Linked DNA regions of Caenorhabditis elegans. The protein of the gene in region 2 interacts with the protein of the main gene of each other region in a pairwise test. Each region holds a gene or a part of one and is shown on either strand. Other genes may lie near its edges.

What was found.
Region 1: the proteins of nhr-256 (region 2) and F49E2.2 interact in a two-hybrid assay, tested with the Caenorhabditis elegans proteins (one large-scale study listed by BioGRID).

What each region holds. Positions count from the first base shown.
Region 1 is NC_003284.9:9,561,623-9,575,261, reverse strand, and holds F49E2.2 (SH3 domain-containing protein), read right to left. Parts: upstream 7,967-13,639; coding exon 7,834-7,966; intron 6,480-7,833; exon of another isoform or gene 6,355-6,479; intron 6,227-6,354; exon of another isoform or gene 6,206-6,226; intron 5,884-6,205; coding exon 5,752-5,883; intron 5,712-5,751; coding exon 5,661-5,711; intron 5,025-5,660; coding exon 4,873-5,024; intron 4,821-4,872; coding exon 4,582-4,820; intron 4,499-4,581; coding exon 4,315-4,498; intron 4,273-4,314; coding exon 4,126-4,272; intron 3,183-4,125; coding exon 3,015-3,182; intron 2,944-3,014; coding exon 2,806-2,943; intron 2,756-2,805; coding exon 2,661-2,755; intron 2,617-2,660; coding exon 2,424-2,616; intron 1,916-2,423; coding exon 1,817-1,915; downstream 1-1,816. Other genes in the region: glb-17 (Globin domain-containing protein), read left to right, coding at 331-469, 686-958, 1,007-1,103, 1,154-1,218; moc-5 (GTP 3',8-cyclase), read left to right, coding at 9,283-9,447, 9,554-9,818, 9,876-9,979, 10,187-10,306, 10,364-10,702, 11,778-11,898, 11,941-12,009, 12,054-12,173 and 4 more.
Region 2 is NC_003283.11:1,736,432-1,748,481, reverse strand, and holds nhr-256 (NR LBD domain-containing protein), read right to left. Parts: upstream 4,712-12,050; 5' UTR 4,669-4,711; coding exon 4,594-4,668; intron 3,933-4,593; coding exon 3,782-3,932; intron 3,735-3,781; coding exon 3,660-3,734; intron 2,538-3,659; coding exon 2,233-2,537; intron 1,508-2,232; coding exon 1,311-1,507; intron 1,262-1,310; coding exon 1,136-1,261; intron 1,091-1,135; coding exon 975-1,090; intron 853-974; coding exon 602-852; 3' UTR 501-601; downstream 1-500. Other genes in the region: putative 5-hydroxyisourate hydrolase ZK697.8, read left to right, coding at 1-50; srab-25 (Serpentine Receptor, class AB (Class A-like)), read left to right, coding at 7,325-7,551, 8,149-8,226, 8,275-8,428, 8,473-8,649, 8,694-8,889, 8,932-8,996, 9,439-9,555; str-160 (Serpentine receptor class r-10), read right to left, coding at 11,715-11,791.

The DNA.
Region 1 (13,639 bases), on a different chromosome or scaffold from region 2:
AAATTAACATTTATTTTAAAAAAATTTCATTAGCAGCTATTATAATAAGTTTGAAAATTCGTTTTGGCAAGTAAAATTAATATCTTTTTTTTAGCTCAAAACAACTGCCAATTACATGTGAAAAAAATTGAACTAATATGTATTTTTGTTTACTCCTCATAGACCAGACCTAATTTAATGCCAGAAATCATCTAAAAATGATACAAGCAAAATGAATTCGATTATGCGAGCATCACGCGTTACGTCTTCGGCTTGCTTCCACATGTATTAGATTTTGATCGATGTCCATTAACCCATGAATAATTGCTTTTTGAATTCAAAGTTTTGCAGCGCGAAAACCGACAACGTTGGAAAGAAGATTCTGCAGACGCTCATTGAAAAACGTCCAAAGTTTGCTGAGTATTTCGGTATTCAGAGTGAAAGTCTTGATATTCGTGCTTTGAATCAAAGCAAGGAATTTCATTTACAGGTGAGGATGTTTAAATTTAGATTTTGAATAGAAGTTACCTGTCAACTCAAAAAAAATTCCGTGTTACTCCAAACATTTAAAGAGTTTGAAATTATCAGATTGAAGACATTATCATAGTTTTGTACCAAAAAATTAATAATCAACAAATACAAGAAAATAAACATTTAAAGTTGCTTTGATAATACAAGTATCTCTTAAAAAATAGGAGATTTCCAGGCGCACCGTATCCAGAACTTCCTTGACACGGCAGTCGGATCTCTCGGTTTTTGTCCAATTTCCAGTGTTTTTGACATGGCACATCGTATTGGACAAATTCATTTCTACAGAGGAGTCAATTTTGGAGCAGATAACTGGCTTGTCTTCAAAAAAGTAACAGTTGATCAAGTAACAACCGGAACAACGGATAGCTCCAAAGAAAAGGAGGATACTAATAGCAATGGAACTGCAAATGGAAAAGTGGATACTGATGCAAGTCTTATCCCGGTAGGAGTTAAGGATTCCAACATTACTGCACAATTCTAAACTTATATTCTTAAGATTGCTGATATTAATAATGTATACAGCGGAGAAAATTGCTTGGCTCGTCTGGGATGGAACAAGTTAATGACTGTCATTGTCCGTGAAATGAAGAGAGGTATAGATTTCGACACTAACTCTTATTATACAAGTAACAGCATTTTTCAGGATTCTTGGAAGAAGCAATGCGTAACTGCAAAGAAGAGGATAATAATGGCCTTCTAAGTGCTTGAATTTCTTTTCCTTTTTTATTCCAACCGTAATTCTAAACACGTGTGCTGCGTTTTTTAATATATAATTTCTACACCTCTAGTATTGATGATAGATCAACAAAAATCTAAAAAGTTTCCAAACAATATTAAATCATTACGAATTTATTCAAGATTATTTTTGATTCCAATAAGTTTTGCTGCTTTTTCTCTAAAACTGTAATCATGCCACCTTGATTTCGTTCTGATTATGGCAGAGAATCTTTTTTTGCTGAAGTTGCTTTTTTATCAGGTTGCCCAATTCTTCCCAAACACTCTCTAATTAAGAATTACACCAACATTCATGACTTTAATCATTAAATTCATTAAATGTTACCATACAATAATATTTTTTGCTTTACCATGTGTTTTAATTACTTATTTACTGTGAATAAAATATTGATAAAAACTGGACCACTGGGATAAGAATGAATTATTTAAAAACTGGGGAAATAAATCAAGGAATTACAGGAAATCACAAAATAGTTATTTGCAAAAATAGGCGTTCTGGTGAAAATATGGGAAGATAAGTCACAGACAAAACGAGAAATGACAAGAATGTTGTTTTTTTGTAATTGAAAGTTTATGGGTTGACATATGGCTCAGGAACCCATCCTGTTCGGTTAGAAATCGAATCTCTGACAAACACCCATCCACGAGATCCGCATTTTAAGAGGATTACCTGAAATTAATCAGATGTGATAAAATTGTGGAGGTGACTAATGCATGTTTCAAAATATCTAACAAAGAACAACATCAACATAGTTTTCAACTACACTATGTTTTGCAAGTATTCTCTAATTCAATACTAAATATTACAAAGAGCCTGTTAGACAAATGTTCAGTAAGGACTTGTTTGAATGTAAAAACGAATTCCATAAATTAAATATCTCGAACCAATGCTAAGATTTTTTTGATAAAAAATTAATAACCTTAAATTGATTTTGATTAAAAAAAACATTCATGAAACTCTACTCATGTAGGCTTTCAAATCCTATAATAGTGTCAAATTAAAATATTGATACAGGCAAATGTTACCACTTTTTTAGGGCACCGGTCTGTTGTTAGAAATTTTATCGGTTTGCCGTTTTGCTTGAAAGTTTTATATTCTTTTTGTTTTCTTCTTGACGTCACAAAAAGTAACAAGTTTTAGTTTAATTTTTCAAAATTATTTAGAAAGTTTTTGGTACCTTGTCTCCACGATTCACAGTCATCTGTTCTCCGGAAGAAGCATTGAAATCATCGTTAACAATCAGAATACTTCCATATTGTGATGGGTTGAAGAATGATGGAACCGAAATATCTGTACTATGATTGCGACTGTGTTGTTGTGCTTGGTGAGATGGAGCAGCCATTGGAAGGTAACTAGAATCCACGTGGAATCTGAATATGTCGTTCTTTTTTTCAAATTTCTTGTGAGTACTCACTTTTTAGCATTCATTTGCTCCTCTGTCACTGGATTATCGACGACTCTCCCAACGCGAATATAATCGCTGGTAACAACTTGATAAGGCGTGCTATTCTGAAGGATTATCACACTTGAAAATTGAAAATTACACGAATAGTTTTTACCTGAACAGGCGTGTAGCGGACATTTGGCTGAGGATTTGATTGATTTGCAAATCCGAAAACATTAACAGCACCTGGAATTGTGTTTCCAGCACGGCGGACACCACCTGGAGCGCTATTAACCGGCTGTTGAGGCACTTGCTGGAAACGCATAGTTTTATCAAAATGGACAAATAATAGCGAGTGAAAAGATGATTACACCAGATGCTTACCTCGGCGACAACATTATGACGAGGGGCGTATGTGCTCTCCTCCTGGCGTGTGACTGGAACTGGTTGAGCGCGAATCGGAGCATATTGGGGGTTTTCGACAACTGGTTTTGGCGGCAAGACTGGTGGAGCAATGTGGGAGTAGCTGTTGTTGGGTGGAAGTTGTTGAATCTGAAATTAATACGGCAATTAAATTTTTCTTCGAAATAAACCAGTTGCATTTACTGTTTGTAAAAACCAATGCATGGTATTTTAATTCGGGGCACGTTGTGAATACATAATAAGAATATGAAATGTTTTTACTGCAGTTCAAATCTTTGATAAAAACTTTATGTGAAAGATTAAATAAAATATAGTAATGTTATGTGAGGTAATTTTGAGTCAAATAGAGCAACTATTCATACGTCGCTATTCTACCATTAAACAAACACGTGAAGTTGTTACGAAAAAATTTTGATAATTATGTAACACGTGAAAATAGTTGTTCTTCAGTCAGCCTTTTAAAATTCGCGTAACATTTCTAAAACGTGATAGAAAGATTGCCAAGATTTCAAAACCAAAGTGAAAACTCAATAAAATCTAATTGACAAAACGATGCTAATATTTCTTTTTTCGATTAAAGACTTTTGCTTCGATGTTTACAAACATTTTTGAATTCTATTGTTAAATTTTGAAAACACTGTGTTGCTGATTGAAAGTTCATGCAGGCTTAACTATGAATAAATAAACTGATTTTAATCTAAATTAAAATTCAAAATGTTGCGTTTTTTATTGATTTTTATCCTAGATAATTTAATAGCACATGCGGACATTATACAAACATTAAAAAATAGTGTTATTGCAGATGCGAATTTTTCAAAATAGGAGAAATTTTGAATACCTCCTTGCTTCAACAGTTCAAATTTTAAGTATCCTACAACTAGTCCGATGGCTTACACATAGTAATAAACTTTGAAAATGTGAGTGTTCTTTTTTTTTAATACAAAATGAAACGTATGTATTATAAGTTTTATGTACGTGATTTAATGTAACTATGACCTATTGTTTATACACAATATTGACTTATAACAACTTTGAAACATTTCTTCACATGACATATTAGTCCTCAACTAACCTCAATTGATTGACGGCGATAATTACTAACCAGTGTGACTCCGGAAACGTCATTTGTGAGACGACGAGAAGATGGAAGATCCTCTAGCGTTGTTGCAACCGATGAAGTCGAATTGCTGCGGCTGTCCTGTACAGCTTCATCTACTTTCTGAAATTTAATATGATATACACGCATTAAATTGTGTTTTACCTTTTCAACATTCTCTTTAATTTCCTCAGCTGCAACAACGGCGGCATGCTCATGTAAATCTTGATGCCAATCTTTGTGGTCTTCTGGTATGGTCTCAATTTCAACCGGTGCAGCGATCACACTCCCAACTGCTGGCTGAACAATCACTTCTTGGGCTTGGAATAATTTCCCAATTTCGACGTATCTGATAATATTTTATGAGAGTTTTTTTTTCCAGAAATTGAATTAATGTTGCTATTTTCACAATTCTAATTACATTTAACTCACCCGTGAATCCAGGATTGCAGCTTGTCATTGAAAAATTTGTATCTCATTTCCTGTTGTTTTGCCCAGCTGGCTGCTTCTTTTTTATGGAACGCGGTAATATCTTGTTCAGTTTCTCCATTTTTGCGTTTCAGAAGTTTTTTTTCTTTTGCTTTGTACTCAGCAAATTCTGTCTTCAGCTTGTCTTTTTCCTTGTTGCTATAGTCATGAACTTTGTGTGCCAGCGCGTCAAATTCCGTAATCTATGTTTAATTATATATTGAATGCGAAACTTTTCTTTAGATTGATGCTTACGACTTTTTGATGAGCATTTACTCCCTGTACAAACTCTTTAAAAACTTTTGAAAGCTCTCGAGCTTCATTTTTCGATTTGTGTCCAGCAGTATCAGCTGATTTGATAAGTTTGTGAGTGGCATCACAATAGTTTGACAATGCTTCTTGGAACACTGAAAATTGCAAATTTTTATATACTCTTGTCATCTTGAAAACTTGATGTGATTATTGAAAAGCTATTTTTCTTGACCTACATTGATATGGATTGCAAACGAAAATGTTTCAATTTCCACTCTCACAAAAAATATAGTTTTTGTCATTGAATTTTTAGGCACAAACTATGAAAATATAAAACTCGAGTTCTATGAATGCGTCTTTCAACTACACATGTTTTCATGTGTTGCGATACAAACTGAATTGAGTTATAAACAAATTATTAACACAGAAATGGGATGAGCTGAGTATATTTTATTCACATTATTGAGCCATTGTTACAAACCGTCCCGACCATGATAACTATAATACTTTCAACGTATATTTGCCAACTTTTTGCAGTAACGTTTTCTAATTTTTTTTACTTCTCATCTCTTACAATATTAAGAAACCATGAGATCATGAGAGTGCCTACCGTTTTGGCGCGGGAATATCTCGTAGCGAAGGAACCTATATCTTTCTTCGCCGATTGTTTTCCCTGTTGCCGCTATTTTCGAGCCACAATTTAGGCATTCTCAGGTTTTTTAAAATACAACAAAAGCATAGAAAGAATACTGTGTAAGAGAACTTATTGTTTTCTGATCAAAAATACTTACTGTAATATGTTTTCAGTAGATGCATTCCGGCTTGCCCAAGATTTTTTGCCGCTGAAATTTTGTTGTGTATGTTAACCTAAACAAGAGGTACCTGGCAAAAACTGTGCGGCTAGCTGATCGTGGACCATCTGTGGAATGTTGGCAGCCATTGAAGGCGAAACCTCCGGTGGTACCGCTTGTTCGTCGACCGACATCGGGATGATTGGTGGATACCGATGAGAGACTGAAAACCAACTTTTTGCAAACTGTTTGACATTCAATTTTCATAAGTAATGCACTACTTTTGCGGGAAAAGTTTTATAATATTTTATGGGCAGGGTTGGTCTGTTGTAGATAACGCTTTTGCCATCCGAGAAACTTTCTTTATTGATATTGTTAATTGCTAAAGGCATGCGACACTAAATATTATAAAAAATATACAACTAAACAAGTTATAGAACTTAAAAAAACCCTAAGACGGTGAACCTAAATCAATAAAACACAAATATCTATATTTTTTGAAGAAATAGTGTTATAAAGTCATTTTGTTTGCCAACATTCCTGAATTCCACTTTCCATCATAACGATTATGGTTATCACCGCAACATGTGTCATAAGAAAGGAATGAAACAAAAAATATTTCATTTTTGGAGTAAAATAATGGCCATTATGCCGGCAAAACGCCTAAAACAGTGTACACTCTATAAGAAAATGAGGCGAGCGTACAACCAAGTTCATGAAACGACGCAGTGCGGCAGGCACCTATTGAAAAAGCGTTGTGCAAGTGATAAGAGCCCCGACTTTGGTATGCTGCGTGCGTTTGATTATGTACATTACCCGGGCATCGGCGCCAAGCGGCGAGAAACCTGGCAGATTGGGAGAGTGTGAAACAAAACCAAAAATCGCCGCCTACTTTAAGTTTTTGTGCCATTCTGAAGCGACTATTCTGATTGTGTGAAGAAATACTGTTGACATTTTGACACTATCAATTTTAAGAGCGTGACAACAGAGAATGGTGACATCTGACAAAAAAAAATGACAAGCCGTATGCAACTTTTTGAACAACATTTGAATAATTTGAAATTAAATAATATAAAAATATAAAAAACGCATCGTTTAAGCTTGTAAAGAAACCTGATAGTGAGTGTTATTAGTAAAACATTGAACTCTAGTTTGTTTTAATTGTTTCAATTCTGAACACTGACCCGTGAAGTAAAATAAAATTTGTTTAGAATTAAATAAAGCTATGAATAAAGTACAGGACAACTTTAATTATTGTGCTACAAAAGTTGATCGGCATCTTTACAAGTAACTCGTTTTGTAATTTATTCAAAATTTAGAGAAGTAGTCAAAACTCAAAACTTATTTTAAACCATAAAAAATTATTGATTTAATATACCGCAATTTAAATTACATTGTCATACCAATGTTGTTAATAAGTGAGTAAATAATGATTTTTTGAACATGTATGTTCAAAATTTGCGTTATACATGTGAAACATCAAAGACAGTAGAAATATGTTGAGCATCTTGCTCAATCAAAATAAGTGTATCATTGTTAGGAAAATGTAACTAAACAAAAAATACCACTAGCACAGTTAAGTTAAGTTGCTTATGAAATTAATTCACAAGTAAAAGCTACAATACATACACATTATCACTTAAAAAATCGTGTTTATTGATTTGCCTAGTTTTGTCTTACAGGGACACCTACATTCGGGCATCCCCACATGATTTCCAACATTTCCAACTCCAATTCCAACAATATATTAAATTTCTAGGTAGTGTTCAGAAGACGAGAACTTATATAATGTTACGAACACCTCAAAATGAAAGTTATATTTTCACATGCTTCTCAGAGATATTTGAAAATATAAATTGAGCTGCAAATTATAAAGCTTTAAAATGTAACTTTTTGAAACTAATACTTACATTTTATTCTATGAAAATATTAATGTTGCATTTAAGTTCAGTATTTCCCTCGATACAAACAAAAGTTGACCAACCTTTTAACATGTGGCGAAGTTTTTTGGCACAAAGAGACGCGCGACACAACTGACAAGCATGACTAATGTCTAAGTTTTCTATTCCGTTCGTCTTCTCCCTCCAAAAAAACACGTCGTAACTATCCGGCTAACAAAACGTATGTATCCCGAGGTCGTTTGCCAATCACTCGGACGTATAACCATACTTACCAATCTTGATACTCTTGAAACGATGATTGAGAACATATTTGTGACCGTTAATTTCAAGAGTTTGAGCTGGTAAAGGGGATGGCTGTGGTGGAATGCGAGATTGGTAGTAAAACTCGTCAGTTGCAGATTCCATTGGAGTTTATCAATATTTCGATGAAAACCAGGACAAACAGAACAAAAGAATGGAATGGGATGGGAATGAGGGAGGCAGATTGGAACATTCCGTATTTATTTTTTGCAATTTTATTATTGAATGGATTTTGATAACATGATTTTTTTGTGTTTGTATGAGTCACTTAAATTGATTGAATATTTTTACCCCAAAAATCCTCACCTCTCCATCTCCATAGTTTCATCCCAATCAGCGAAGATCGTCGAGCGCCCAGATTGAAGATGCCAGCTGTAACAATTTTTTTTACGTTGTATCAAGTGCCCTTTTCACATCGCTCTCTCTGTCTCAAATAGTCTATGCTTTATTATACAATGTACAAATTACAGGGGTCACCAAAAGAGTTAAAAAGACACGTCAGAAAGAAAGACAGAGAGAAATAGAGATGTTTGGAAGATGGGACACTTGGAGGACGTGACAACTTTAAAAAAAGGGGTTTATGAGTACACTATATTTTTGGGACACGGTATTTAACTTACTCATAATGGCAACACTCCTTCTGATTTAGAAACTATGAGGAAATGATAGTCAAGAGCACACAAATGTTCTGAAATATATTCGCTTGTTTATCTTTTGACAAACAATGTTGTTGTCTCTTCCAGAAATATTGTGTTTCTAGCGTCAGAATCATATTGATTAAAAGATAATGATAAAACCTCGATTTATTTTCACGAACCATTTGAAAATCAGACATTGATAACTTGCATCAGAAATTAATAACTTGCATCAGAAATTAATTAAGGTGGAGTAGCGACAGTAAGAAAATTGTTAAAAATTATCCATAAAATGCCAAAATGATCAAATAGAATAGTAACACTTTTCAACAGCTGGAATAAAAATTTTTTATTGACATTCAAAAGTTACTGAGTTTTTCAAATCGTTAGACCGAATCATGATATTTCATTTTCATTAAAAATACATTTCCTGATATATAAAGTCCAAAATTCCTGAGCCTCTATCCCTCTTTTTCTTTTTGTTCTCTGCAACACGTTCGTTTTCTCCTTCGTCGACACAAAAATCACTTTTCGGAATTGAATTGCAAATCACCAATGCAGAGTAGAGTGCCCATCAACCTGTATGATGACAAAACATTCCCGTTGTTCCGTTTTGCATTTTCTATGGTTTCAACGCCCACGATTTATGTTTGAGCGTGAGAGCCACAATGTGCTGCTTGGAGTTTACTTTACACCTTTTCTCTAGGTTTTGTTTTTTTTCTCAATTCCTAATCAATAAATTAATCGCACCGCATTTTTAAAAGTGTTTTGATATAAATATTACAGATGAGTTGTCGAGCAGGAAAAAAGTTATTTCAATGGTCACGGGTCAAGTCGTCAACAGAAGAAATTGTAAAACAACTAACTGTTCCATTACGAGAACATGCCGAACCAATACTCACGTTGACGCCCGAACAAAAAAGAGAAGCAGTCAGACTAAAAATTCAAGAGGTATTCTTAAACATATTGTGCAAATGAGCTTCAGAAATCAGAGAAAGAGATAAGAAAATATAAGAAAATTCTGAAAGTTCACTTGTCGTTCATCGTTCAATTTCAGATTGAACACACAAAAGGCCAGCCACCATTTTTTGACATGTTTATGAGAGAGCACACTTATTTGAGGATATCGCTAACGGAAAAATGCAACTTCCGTTGTCTTTACTGCATGCCAGCCGAAGGTGTTCCTCTCAAGCCCAAAGACAAAATGCTCTCAAACAGTGAAGTATTAAGACTTGTAAAGTTATTCGCTGCACATGGCGTTGACAAAGTTAGACTGACAGGAGGTGAACCGACTATTAGAAAGGATATTGTGCATATTGTTGGTGAGTTTATTGTAGAAATATGACTTCAGTGGAGAAACATGGCATATTCAATTACAGAAGGGATCTCATCTACTCCAGGAATCAAAGAAGTTGGTATAACTACAAATGGTCTTGTTTTGCAGAGATTTTTACCACAGTTGAGAGATGCCGGATTGACAAAAGTAAACATGTTTTTCAATCAGAATTGGGAAATTATTGAGACATTTGTGCTTTTTGTTTTCATGTTTGCCTAAAAAGTTTATCGATTCATTTCCACAATATTACTTGTGGAAGCAAATCAAATAATCATATCCAATCCTCTTTTTGCTTTTCAAAACACTTTTGAAATTTCAACAAAAACTTAATTTCTAAAAGTTAAATAAATTTAGATAAACATCAGTATTGATTCCCTTGATCGTGAAAAATTTGCCAAAATGACAAGACGTGACGGATTTGATAAAGTTTGGAAAGCAATTGAATTAGCGAGAGGTTACTACCCAAAAGTTAAAGTGAGTCGAGTCTCAATTTCTGAGCATTGTCAATTAAATATCCATAATTTTTTTCAGTTAAACGTAGTTGTTCTTAAACACCAAAACGAGAACGAAGTTGTTGATTTTGTTAATCTTACTAAAGATCGTAACCTAGACGTCCGTTTCATAGAGTTCATGCCTTTTGGGGGTAATGAGTTCAAAAATGACAATTTCATTGGCTATCGAGAGATGCTTAATTTAATTGTTGATAAATACGGAGATGGTGTAATACGGTTATCCGACTCACCGAATGACACAACCAAAGCGTATAAGATTGATGGATTCCAAGGACAATTTGGGTTTATCACCTCGATGTCAGATCACTTTTGTAACACTTGCAATAGGCTGAGAATAACAGCTGATGGAAATTTGAAAGTAAGTAGTTGAAAAATGTAAAGTTTGAAAATTACCGGAAGAACATTAATGTATTATTAAGTTTTATAAACATGTTGATTTCTAGTGACTTCCTCTTTTCATTTCATAAATCTTATTTTGATTTTATCTTTCTGGGAGGAAATATCTACGGAAACCTCTCACATGACATCATGCATCCTTATAATAGCTCATTCGTCGTCCTTCGTGGCACTTCCAAGGACGCAATTGATTTCGCTCTTTTTTTGTATTTATTCCTTTCTCATCATATTGCATTCTTATTCTTTGCCAGTAATAAACTCATCTTTCGAAAATCTAAGTGAATGTTGGGTGTCCGAGAGAGAAAGAGAGACGAAATGTAATGTATAACATAAGATTTTGTGCGAAGCGATCCTTTCCGTTCGTCATCGCCTTGCCTCCTCCACCTGGCCTCATTTGCGCCCAGCCGCCGCTCTGCACAAGTTGTGCTCTCTGCTCTTCTCCTTTGTATTTCGTCTCGTTCCCTAACATTCAGGTTCCTTTTTTCTTTTCAACTCGTTGTTAACACCTTTAATACTTGTTTTCAAGTTATATAAAGCTTGCATTCAATCTTTAGTCTATAGGAAGTTACGAGGTGTCGTTGAGGTATTTATTTTCAATTAATAATGTCTATTAATAAAAAGTTGTATTTTTCATTTTGGAGAATTTCAGATAAAAGTGCAAAACTTTGCGAGTATTTCTCACTTGTACCATCATAATCATTTTTATGAAAGACCTCCTGAAATAATGCGTTAATAAAATTGATTAAAAAAATATATTAATTAAAACAGTAGGCTTTAAAACATGCATAAATGTTCTAAATTTATCACAAAACCTTAATGCTTCGAAAAATTGGAACATCAAAAAACATTGAATAAGAATATGGAAAAACCTTGAATATTTCAGAGTGCATAAACTAAAATTTTCACTGACATTTCCCGCTATTATGCATAATCTCAGCCCGCAAATAGAAAATGTTCATTCAACAACATACCCGATTGTGTCCTTCCTTCACATTTGTGTTTGAATTTGAATTTTGGTTAATTTCAATTAATTTAAGGTATGCCTCCATGGAAATTCCGAAGTAAGTCTACGTGATAGAATTCGTTGTGGCGACTCTGACGAACAGCTTTCCGAGGTCATTCAAAAAGCCGTTAACAACAAAAAAGCTAGACATGCCGGTAAGTAGCCCATCAAACTGTTTGAGTAGGAAAAAAATACAGTTTTCAGGAATGGACGCTCTGAAGAACCTGCCAAATCGTCCAATGATTCTTATCGGGGGCTAACTCCTGGTATTAATTTGGTACCTGTTTTTCGAATCTCATTTTTATTACAGTAACATCCGCATCTTCTATACTTGTTCACTTACCATCTAGTTCGCTTTATCATAGTCACTTGCATTCTTCTCGTCACTTTTTTATTTCTCAAATTCGATGTTTCTCGACAACCTACTCAGGTAAGTTTTTGCAAAATTTTGAAGCCGGTGAAATAGTTTCGGTTCAGTGTCTTCAATTACTCATTTGCTCACTCATGTGGACAACAATGGCAACGCAAAACAAGTTGACGTCTCTCAAAAAGATACCAGCACAAGAACAGCTGTGGCAAGAGGAACAATCATTGTAAGTTTTAGTACGAATTATGAGATTATGCTCATATGGAACAAATTCTTTTATTTTTAACTCATGATTTACTTAAAATGGGAAAATCGTAACATCAGTATTTTATTCAATGAAAACATAAATCTTTGTAGTATCGACACACATTTTGTTTTTGTTTTTTTCTATTATTTTCTCTATTTAAATTTTAAAAGTTATTCGTGACTTTTAGCATGCTGAATTTTAATTGCGTTTTACAGTTTTTTATTTTGTTATTCCTCTTAGTTTGAAAACGAATACTACATTTAAAAAGAATTTCCCCCACATCCACAACTCTTTTTTAAGAAAAAAAAAATGTGTATTTTTTCCAGCTAATTCAAAAAATATTGTATATGTAGTGTTAAAACCCATTCAATTTTATTATCACAAAATTATTTTCTTGTTCACACACTTTAGTCAAATTTGAAACATATACTAATTTGTGGCTCCTGACCGAACAAAACATTTATTTCATGTGCATTAATTTTTTAAAAAAATTGTCATTTTCAAGCTGACCGCTGAGATATCCCGCCAAATATCTGAAAATACCATCAAGAAAGGAGATGTCTTAACCGTTGCCAAGGTAAAACTTTTAGAGTGGATTTTTAATGTTGTTATGATCGTTTTTATTTTTAGATTGCAAGCATTTTGGGTGCAAAACAAGTTGCAAATCTGATTCCATTATGTCATCCAATACGTCTTGATTTTGTGGACACCGTATTTAATCATGATATTGAAAACTCAAAACTTCATTGCATTTCAACTGCCAGGTGCAGTGGAAATACTGGAGTTGAGATGGAAGCATTGACTGCTTGTACTGTAAGTTATTAGTCACTATTATTATAATATTTTATTGAATAAATTGCAGATTGCCTTACTAACTGTTTATGATATGTGTAAAGCAATAAGTCAAAAAATGATGCTCACCAATATTTACCTTGTGCACAAGTCGGGAGGCAAAACAACGTATACAATTGACAATGAAAATCAGATTTGAACCACTAGTCACTTTCACTTTTCTCTTATATACATATTGCATTGATTTAATAAAGTTGATTTATTTTAATTTCTGTGAAGTTACATTCAACTTGGAGTATCATTTCCGAGAAATTTGAGCTCAAATAGATATACGTAAAAGTGGACTACGACATGTGGAGGAAAACAATCAAAGTTCTATTTTCGGCATAATGGAGCACATTTACAGAATGAAGTAGAGTACATTTACAGAATGAAAAATTAACTGAGATTTTTAAACTTTAAAGTTAATATCTGACCTGAAGTGGATATT
Region 2 (12,050 bases):
TTCCATTGACTCTGAGTCCATGGGGATACTCTACCTACCGTGGATCATAACTATTTTCCCAATTAACCATAAATTTGCAAGTTATGTTATTAAATAAATTGAATCCAGCCGATACCTTGAAATTCTAAATTTACCAATGAGATTAATAATCCCATCAAGCTTTTAAAAATTTATATACCTACATAGATTAATAACTGCATTTGGAACTATACTTGAAAAATCCACAAGTTCACAATATGATTTCAATTTGAAATTAATATTCTAAAATTGGTTTCGAATTTAATTTTTGACCAATCTATAAAATAGTCATTGATTTTCTCCACGGAGACCTTTAGGTCTTTTGGGAACACAATTCTAACAAAAAAAGTTGTTCGACTGAAAATTATACTTTTTCAAAGCTAGTAATCAAATCTATATTAAAAAATTCTGGATAATCTGCTTCTGAAAATATTTGGACTAGATGAAGACTGATTTCATTTCTCTTTTTTCTTGTAGTTCAACATTATCCTGGAGCCGAAATCCACGATTCGTAAAAATTAAAATTAAACTTTTCTAAACTGAATAATTTCATATATGTGCATCATTACAAAAAACTCGTAATTTAATACTGAAACTTGAGCATATCTTTCAAAATCGGATCATCCACGTTTGCGAAAACCGTAATCTCAAACATCGTAGTCACGAGCTCATGAACCTCTGACATCACAATTCCTACGGCCAGAACGATTTCAGATACTCTGAGAATCGGATCATCATATCCTTCATCTTCGCATATGAGGAGAAGTGTTCGGAAAATGTCATCGCGTTGGCGAGCCGAGATTTGACGACCCGTGTTTTGGAGTTTGTAGTAATCTGAAAAATTAATATGTTTTCTGGTCAGACGTATGCAGCCGACACTAATCTATGTCGAGAGCCTGAAATCTGTCGGCTGCTGGTTTGTCTAAACATTAGCAGGATTCCCCGTTTCAACTCACTATAATGCCAAATCGCTAATGCTTTAAACAATGAAAACTCTGCGAGGGATAATTTCAGCTTTCTCAATGGCTCGTTAACATTCTTCCATTGCCGCCGAATCATTAGCACGACATTTCTGAAACAGAAATACATTTAAAAAATTTCAATATTTAAAACTTACTTATAAATAGTAATATCTTCTAAATTACAATCTTGGGGCACCACTTCAAGTTCCGTAGATGGCATAGGATCCATTTTCAGATATTTGGCTTCTCGCGTCACAAAAACTGGCTCATCCGGGTAGATTCTGAAAGTTTATGTTTTTTTTTTGTTTTTTTTTATTCCGATCAACTTACACCTGACTATAATAAGCTGGATCCGCAAGTGCGTCAACTGCAGCCGTAGTTTGGAATAGCACAGTTTTCTCGGATTTATTCAGCAGATGGAACTCGGGGAACCGATTCACGTAGTCCAAAATCATGGTATAATCATTGCGATTTTTGTATCGATAGGTATCGTAGCTGAGCGGTTTCATGTCGGAGAGGTCAAATGGCTGGAAAAAATTGGTTTCAGAAATATTTTCGACCAGTTTGTTCTTAATTTTTCAAAAAAAAAAGCTAGAATACAGTCCCAATATGCCTAATACAACTGTTAAAAAATTAATAAAAAAGTTTTCTAAATTTTTCGTTTTTTTTTCAAAAAATAAAAAGAGCCGAATTATTTTTGAATTCCCGCGCAAATGAGTATTTTTGACATTTTTGTGAAAACTGATTAGTTTCTTCATTTCTTCTTTGATATATATTTTGAAACTTTATTTTTTACATTTTCAGACATTTTTCAGTAAAGAAAAGTGGCTACTCATTATGAAAATTGCCAAAACGTTCAAATTGGTCTAAAATTGTATAATTCGACATTAATTTTAACTTTTCTTGAAAAATTTCTGAAACTAAAAAAATCAAAACAAGTCAAGAAGAACCAATCAGTTTTGGCGGAAAACGCAAAAAATGTCAAGAATGACGTCACTCATTTGCGCGGGAATTCAAAAATAATTTAGCCCTATTTTTTTCAAATTTAAAAAATAATAAAAAATTTAGAAATTTTTTAAAAAATTTTTTACAGTTAAATTTGGTATAATGAGACTTTATTCTGTCATTCAAGGCAAAAAACCTTCAGACGCTACTCCACCTTTAAAAAATTAGTACTAAACAATGAAGATCACACAAAAATGCCGAAAAAATATTGCCAGAATATGATCTCGCACTTTCAAAAAAAACTTACGCAAACACAAGGATTATCAAACATCGCAGAAAGCGATACATTCGCATATGTAAGTCTTCTTCTCATATTCAGATTCACGAATTGCTCTATATAAAGTGTAGCAAGCTTGTAGAGTCGATCTTCCTCCTCCATAACATCTATAGGTGGAGATACAGCTAGTGACGGCTCATTGGGAATTTTGATAAAATGCTGAAGCTCTTCGATTTCCATTAGATCATCATCAATTTTCATCGATTTTGCGGGAGGATAATATGATTCGCTTGACTGTGAAGTTGATTGAATTGGGAATTGGAGAGGATCGTAGTCTTAAAAATTTTTAGAATTATTTTTAAAAGTAATTTCGATTTAAAATATCACAATAAAACTTTTAAAGCATTTTAATTTTTTTTAAAAATTTACTGTCAAAAAGTGAAAATTTCTCACTAGGGAACCGTCAGAAGGTGACCATCGGATTTGCAAATAAGACCTATGCCATTCGATAGTGCATGTCTTAAAACGGTTACTCGTGAATTTTTAGCGGCAAAACTCCAGAATCAAGCTCACGGTGGGCTCTCAAAGATCCTAAAATAGCACTTTAACGAAGCATTAAAGGGTCAATTTTCCCAGTTCACTTTGGTAGCTCATATCTCCGCGAATAATTTTTTTACATAAAAGTCATCAACCAAAAAGTTGTTGATATTGTTGTGAAGAACAAGTTTCCAGTTGAAAGTTTTTAACAAAAAAGTTTTGTTTGAGATAAAGCGCGTGAAGTGCGGCAACTGTTGATGTTATTTTTATGCTGTGATGTCTATTCTAATGCTTTTAACTCAAACAAAACATTTTTGGTAAAAAACTTTCAACTAGGAACTTGTTCTTTACAACAACATCAACAACTTTTTAGTTGATGACTTTTCTGTGAAAAATTTATCCGCCGAGATATGAGCTACCAAAGTGAAATTGGAAAATTGCTTCTTTAGATCGTTGAAGTGCTTCGTTACAGTGCTATTTTAGGATCTTTGAGAGCCCACCGTGAGCTTGGTTCTGGAGTTTTGCCACTAAAAATTCACGAATAACCGTTATAAGACATGGGCTATCGAATGTCATAGGTGTCACATGCAAGTCCGATGGGCACCTTCTGACGGTTCCCTAGTCAGTTCTTGCCACTCATAATTTTTGAAGTCGACCGTAAAAAATAGTTTTTCCTTCATTTTTTATATTTTAATTTTACTTTAATATTTTTGTATTAAAACATGGTAGTGGTCGGTAAATGCTTTGGATTTCCTCAAAAGCTCATAATTTTTAAAGTTTTGGCAGTTTGCAAAACTTATGGCGGAAATTATGAAAAATTTAAAATTTATTGGAGTGTTTTACTATGATATTCGGTTTTTTGGATCATTATATGTGTATTCAGACAAAACTAACGCTACTCAACCTTTAAATGAACTTACAATCAGAGGTAGAAGCTATAACATCCACTGGGCTGGACCGCTTATTTTCTCCGTTCATTTTGTGCCCTTGTACTACTGAAATTCAAAAACTTGATTTTACAAACATATTAAAATAGACTTACATTCTTCCTGCATCCCAGCTTTCAAGCACTTTGCCAGCCTACATTGTCTACAATTTTGTCGGAACACGTGGTTGATTTCGCAGGTTTTCTCACCGGGACATGAGTAAATTTGGCCAGTTTTTACAGTTCGACGGAAGAAAGCTGCACAGGCCTGAAAAAGTTCACTTGAATAGGCAACTACTACGTAGATTTATGTAGATTTTGATTTTTCGTGGCTATTATAAAAAATTCAAAAAATGGGGACCAAACCTAACTGTTCAACATGATGGCTAGGCGCAGGAGGGAAACAATTTCAAATTTTTACATAACGAAACATTGAGTAAACATATGTTATCTATTGCAGCAGGGTGTGCGGCAACTGCGGCCTGGCAAATTTTGGTAAATCGGCAAATTGCCGGTTGCGATTGGAAAAAAAATGCAAGTTCACAATTTGCCGAACATTTTCGGTAATTGCCATATTTCCGGCAAATTCGGAAAATCGGCAATTTGCCTGTATGCCGATTTGCCGCAAATTTCAATTCCGGCAATTTGCCGATTTGCCTATTTGCCGGATATTTTAAATTCCAACAACTGGCCAATTTGCCGGAAATTTCGATTCTGGCAAGTTACCGGTGTGCCGATTTGCCGGAAATAATCGTTTGCCGTTCACTCTACTGAAGTTTTTTGAATTTTTAAATGTTTTTTTTGCGGGTGAAATATTTCCGAAAAAACAAGAGAAAATAAAAATGTTCTACTGATAAGACAGGAAAAACAAAAAAAGCTTGGTAAATAAATTAATCAACTTAATTTTAGCAACAATAAAAACAACGTACCTTACAGGAATGTGCTCCAAAATGAAAATTTGTCGCGTTTGGCGAGTCGCAAACCTTGCAATTCCCACGAGACATCTTGAATAATCAAAGAAAATTATAGAAACAAAAAAAAACACTTGAAAAAAAGTGAGAAGGAGAAATGAAACAAATCAATGAGAGACGCAGACACAAAACGTGGGTGAGAGCAATAAAACGCTGAAGAGAAGGAGACATTGAGAGTCAATTCGCGGCATGTTATCTTTCTTTTCTGTCTCCAGGTTGTCCATTTGTTTCAAGAACGAGTGGAGAGTACGACGGGAAGGGGCAAAGGTTATAGTACACTACAAGACACAAACCGCTATATAGTTTTTATACTTTTATTTGTAGTCGTCTGTCAAAAAGCGGTAGGGAACTCAATAATAGCTATGTAAAATGATATAATGTACGAATTTTGAATTCTATGGTTGGCAATATCATACTCACGTGGGCTTAGGCTTAGGCTTATGCTTATGCTTAGGCTTAGGCTTAGACTTAGGCTCAAGCTTAGGATTAGGCTTAGACTTAGGCTTGGCGTCAGTATCGAGCGTCAGCTATTTAGGTTTGGGTTTACAGCGTTTTATTTTCATTTTTCAATTAAGTTTAGGCTTAGTCTTAAATCTAAATGGGCAGGGGGAGGAAGAGAGAAAATAAAAATTCCAGAAATTTCGAATATTCAGAAAAAAAGAAAAAAGTACACAAAATCGTGAAAAATATCAAAATTCTAAGAAAAAAGACAAAAATGGCGAAATCCCAAAAAAGCAGAAAAAATGCTTTTTAAAGAATTGGACAAGGCCCCATTGTCTTTTGAGTACACAATGATTTTCAATTTCTGAAATTTTTCGAATTAATCTCAAAATTTTGGTTTTTCATAATGCTCTTTTTGCGTAAATCTGTCTGGGAAAATTATCTCGTCATTTCTTAAATTTCGTCAAAATTATTTTTTTCAGTTTTGTTTGTTATAACTTATTCTGATATTTTTCTTGTATTTGTATTTTGAAAATCCCTTCAAATTCAATCGAAAATTGGTATTCCACCAAAAAAGACTCCTCCCACAACTTTAGTATAAACTTATCGGATTTTTTTTCATTTTTTGAATGGTTATCCTAATATATATAATAAAGATTAACTTGCAAATATCACGAGTGATAGGTCACAAGTGATTAATCTTACTTCCTACATTCTTCGATATTGACTACGAAAACATCAATATAAACGCCTCAAAATTTTTTTGGTTCAATATTTTTCTGTTCAACACGCCTTGGAGAAAATAAAAAATAATTTTTAGAAATAATTTTATGAACAACCAAGCCGCCTGTTTAGCCCTTTTTTTTATTAAAGTCAGAAAAATAAGGAAAACACTGAGACCAGGCTTAGCTCACATCTATAATAAAAAATCATTTAAGCATGAATAGGGGTGGTTGAACCAAGAAAGCAAGTAGTTCAGTTCCATTTTTCACTTCCTTGTATAAAACTTTAGTGATATCACTAGAACCTAATTCGTGCATTAAAAATTTCAATTTTTGTGCTCTCAGATTTAACAAAAATCCTGTCGAGCAATTTTAGGGAACAAGCATGTTCTCTAATTAACTAAAATTTTTCGATTTCTGCTAAATTTTAATAAATGTGCCCCTTAAAAAATACTACATTCTTGAACTTTCTTGATATTGGTCTGATTTACTTGATGGTTCATAGGTTTAATTTTTTTTAAACTATAGCATGTAAAAACCCAAAATTTTATCGAACCCAATTAATGAAATTACCACAGAAGATTTATGGAGTACTGTTTAAGGGCTTGACCTTTTTGCATTCAATAAGAAGTTGTAGTGTCGAGGCACCATATTTTTGGAACAAAATTGCAAAATTCTGCATTCTGTACTGGACATCAGTTTCATTAGCATTTACTTAAAGATTCTCGAGTTTTAAAATTCCATACGATCTCTGATAAAAATAAAAGACTTTCAAAGTAAATCCAAACGTATTTTCTAGCAATGTCCTGTTCGCTAGTTCTCAGTAAAAAGATTTTTGGTTTTCACTCCTGGACTACCTGGATTACTGGACTATTGAACTTTCATATTTTCCAGGAAAATTTTTGCTATAGTTGACAAATATGCGAATACAATTAGTTGCTTGGAACACATAATAAGCAGAAAACAATCGCCCACTTACATTCCCGTAATTTTATTTTTACGTGTGGACTAATATTAACTTTCATTGTTTTCTTCCTTCTAGACAGCCATTCACTTCTTTGTTAAAAAAATTCTTTGCTAATTTGAATTTGTTACATTAATTTGCCTGCGTTCTTTATAGACCGAGAAAATTTATCTGAATGTAGTATATAAACTTTGAAAAATCAAAGACCCAAATCTAGAGCTCAAACGTTTAGAACAAGCCGAATTATAATTACTTTGTGCAAGATCTTTTTATGAGAAATTTTTGACATTTTTGAAACATTTACAGAATATACATAACTTGCCCCAAACCTTTGCTTATGAATCTGTTTTTTTGTTTAAATGTTCATTAACCATTAGAAAATACAGTATACATATTAATCTGCAACCTAATTTACCCAGAATTCATCGAAAATAAATAATTGAAGGTGTGCATTTCTGGAAACACAATTGCTAGAAAATCCAAAAATCACCTATATTCCTAGTTACTGCTTGCTCTGAAAGAGGTGTATAACTTTTAAATACTAATTTTCAGACATCTGCCTATGCAACCTGAAAATTCATCTGTGTGTGATGTACGCGAAGTTTTGAAATATCAAGACTCCAAATTTTTGCATTATTCCGAGCTGATCATGCTGATTTTATCATTCATTGCTTTACCAATTTTGATTTTGGCAATTGTGAAATGCATCAAATCTTCACTGTTTCATACGAACATTAGATTGATAACAGGGTTTCACTGTTTCTTCATTCTTATTCATTGTTTCGGCAGGTGAGCTGATTGTTTGGACCTGCCATTTTTTGGGGGACACTATGTATAATAAAATCTACAGTAACCCTGGAGTACTCCTGAAGTATCCTGGCAGAGCAGTACTCGGCACATTTATCACATTTGCAAAATTCTCTTTTTAAAATTGAATGACCACTCGCAGCCTCGATCAATGTCGGCTGCGCATTTATCAAACTTCCTATACCAAATGAGCAGCCGACAAGTATCGAGGTCTACGATAAACCACACAAGCTTTGCCTAAGTATTAAGGGTGGGCGCAATTTCGGCAATTTTTTTTCAGCCAAATTGGCAAATTGCCGGTTTGCCGATGTGCCGGAAAATTTCAATTCAAACAGTTTGCCGGTTTTATAATTTTTATTTTCTGCAAGTTGCCGATTTGCCGTTTGCCGGATATCAGATTTGCCGGAAATGTTTAGAGGGATACTTACAAGACGGAAACACTTAAAACTGTGCCTTTTTGAAAATTTTTTCTCGTTTTCTTTAGTTATTTTCATAGAATTTGCTTACTTTTCAAAATAGATGTAAATACATTCATTGAATGTATACAATTTCGCCGAATGAAATTTCCATTAATTCCAGAATCCTTCAACATTCCAGCGATATGTACCTCTGGATGGCACCGTTAGCAGTTTGTGAAAAACGGCAATATTTTGAAATGTAAAAAGAAATTTAATTTTACCATTTTTTAACCACTTGTAATTTCAGATGTGTGATATCCCGAAGCATGTACCTTTACGGAATTTACAGTTCCAGTTTTACTACTGTATTTATGGCCATTGAAAGAACTCTGGCGACATATTTATCGCATAAATATGAACATAAAAATTCATGTGTCGGTATTTTATTGGTTTGTTTCCAGGTAATTTCTAGAATTTTTGAAAAATTTTTAGCAAAAAATTACAGATCATAATTAGTCTATTAATAACTGTTCCCCTATTTCTTGATTCAAAGTTCACAACTCGGCCGGATTTTTGTGAATTTCATGATCCTTCCGACTGGCTTTTGGTTGTAGAGATCTTTACGATTTTCTCCAATTTTGTAGCCTTTTTGCAATGTTGGAAATTATACAGAGTGAACACGGTACGTAAAAAACCTATTTTTTTGGTTAAATTTTTTTTTTCAAGAAACTCAGAGTCCATTCAAAAGTGCGCCGGTTAAGCCAAAAATATCAAATCGAGGAGAACAAAATGTTGATAAAAGTTATATTGCGTTTCACTTGCTTAGATTTTGTGTTCATGATGGTATATTGTTTTGGAAACTTGGCCACAAATTTTATTGACTTTAGTTTATCCCAAGGGAAATTGCACGGATTCATAGAAAGTGAGTTTCAATTGTTCCTATGAAAGTTTCAATTTTTTTTAGTGGTGCATTGTCTGCCGGTTTATGCAATTGTCGTCACATATTCCATGGCAAGAGTTATAAAACACGTGAGTCTATTATACTTTTTAATTATTTTCGAGCAATTTTTCATGGCCACTTCACTGCCAGACTTTGGAATGTCTCTTTTTTTGTTTTTTGTGTATTTTCTGAGATTTATTTTTTCTCTATCTGCCCAATTCTTTAAAAAGTATTTTTTCTGATTTTTTGGGATTGTGCCATTTTTGTCTTTTTTCTTAGAACTTTGATTTTTTTAAAACGATTTTGTGTAATTTTTTTTTCTGAATTTTCGAAATTTCTGAAAATTATATTTTCTCTCCTCTTTCCCCTGCCCAGATTAAGCCTAAGCCGAAGCCTACGCCTGTGCCTAAGCCTAAGCCTAAGTCTAACCTCAAGAATACGCCTCGGCCTAGCTCTTATTTATCATTTTAATACACTTTTTAAAAAGTGGACTAACAAAACTGTCGCTTTTCTCAAACTCTATCATTTCAGATTCAAAAACGGAAGACGTCAAATTTGGTTGCAGAAATCCGAATAAGGGAGGACGCGTATTTCAGTTATATAAATAATCAATGGACCCGTGACACTAAGAACAAAAGTCACAAATAGAACTAAATATTTCAAATAGTTTCCACTTTATCCTGAGCTACAAAAGTTGCCAAAATGAACACGGAACACATAATGCAAGTGTCTTGAAATCCAAGTGTGACAATTTGAAAATTATCAGGAGATTTGAGATGATCGGAGTACGCAGTAGAGACTGATGCTAGGGAGATGAACTGTAAATATAGCTACGATTGAAAAATAATCAATAACATTTTCTTACAATTGAAATACATAAGAATAACAGGATATGAACGATACGAGCGCGCTCTTTCAAACTCAATTTCTTAGCGTTTTTAGCATAATAGATGGAATAAAACTTATAAAACAGAAGATATGTTATCGAAACTAATAAAATCCATTTCAAAATGTCCAATCTCTGAAATTTTACTTTAAACATTAATTACTGAAGCTGTAAACTTGCAATGATAAAACAATTATTGATACTGATTTGAATGTAGGTATGTCTGCAATTTTATTATTGAATAAGTCTTAAAAATTGGTTGTACATGAAACTGCAAAAAACTACCGATTTATTGCTAGATGAGCATTTCAAAGCAATATCCCCACAAGGGATATTCATTTTCAATTAAGTGGTAAAATTCTGTTTAAATCAGGAGTGAGCGACAAACGATTTTTTTCCGGAAAATCGGCAAAATGACGGAATTTAAAATTTTCGGCAAATCGTCAAACCGACATCCTGCTCATTTGACAAAGTTTCCAAAAAACGACCATTGGCGAAAATTTTCGGCAAATTCTGGTTATGTACATTTCTTTGGAAACTTCAGAATTTCAATTTTAATCGGCAAAATTGCACGCAACCTATGAATGTTCCTACGTCTGTTTTTAAAAATAAGCCAATTATAAAAAAATTTCTAAAGAAAACAGGAATTAAATTTCAAAAAGGCACAGTTTAAATTTTTTTTCCGTTTTATAAAAAATCCCTCTAAACACTCCTAGCAAATTTATATTACGGCAAACGGCAAATCGGAATTTGCCGAATATAAAAATTTTCGGCAAATCGGCAAACAAACACATTGCCATAAAGGAAAACTTCCGGCAAATCGGGAAACCGGCAATTTGAAAAAAAACCAGTAGACTTACAAGTTGTGTCGGGTAAATATCTTAATGCATAAAGAGCTATGAATAGTACCGCATCAATTATGTATATCTTCAGTCTAAAAATTTATTGAATTCATTTCTCTAACTATCAGTATACCTTGTAACTTTACAGCTCATAACATAAACTTCACTTCCAATTTTCCAGTTCAAAAATAATGCGTAAGTCATAGTAATAGAGTAAGGAATTGTTGGTGTGACGAAGTTTGGAAAGAGCAGTATGGGAAAGGATATCACATATTTGTACATTTCAATTCGATTACCATCAAAAAAGTGGAAAGTTGATATTAATAATATGTCATGAAACAAAAACGCTAATTGGAAAAAAGTAACAATAGGGTAGATTAAACAAAAATGGTAGAAGCAGTAATATATCGAATTCTAAAAAAACACAATTTTAAGAGTTAACATCAATAATAGATCTATTCGAAGTTTACACCTACTTCTTTTTTACAAGCTTGGTAACAGTACAAAATTACTGAAAATACAGGAAACAGGAAGCCTAGCAATATCCATTCCGATCCAAGTGGTAAAATATCCAGCAAACTTGCATCGATTTCAGAAAAATTAAAAGAAATCGAAATCGGTTGTGGATACTCGGTAAAGTTGCAAAACATATGTACATCAGGCAGAACTGATGTAGATGTCAAGGTTTTATATCTAAGGAAAATCACCTGCTCGATTCAATTTTTTTTAAGAGTTCAATTTTTTTGGATAATTTCGATTATTTTTGGTGGATGACGTTTTTGGTTCTCATCATCGGCTGTGCTATTTGATGTAAACATAAAAAATTTTCTTTGCTTGAAGTATAACATTGCGTGGGATAATATTTCGTAGATCAAAGAGGCACATATATTGGTAGAATATATTAGGAAAACTGTGAAACGTGTGTATTAAAAGAAAGCTCACACTTGTGTTAAGAATGAACTTTTATTATCTTTTTTTAGTACTCTTCAAGAAACCAATTAAACTTAAAATAATATTTTTTATTTATTTACGTGTCCTGAGATGCCATTTAAAGACATATGAGCTTGAAAGAACAATGTTCACGAAATAGCCAAATTCGAGTCAAATGCTGATACAGAAGCCACTTCATTTTTCAGAAAAAGTCGTCGGAAGAAATCTGAAAATGATTGTGGGATTTCTATGTGAATATTAAAAAAAAAAACTCAATTAAAAAAAAATGTAATACCAATAGTTATGGGCCGTATTTACCAGACGAATTTGTCCTAGGCTTTACAATAATACACTAAAGTTAACCGTTGAGTCTCTCTTAAATTTTTTAAACCGGTATCTAAAAGTAATCATTTTTAAACTCTTCTTATATTTTTGTGAACACATATTGTTTTCGATGAGCTCACATTTGAGCAGACAAATGAAAA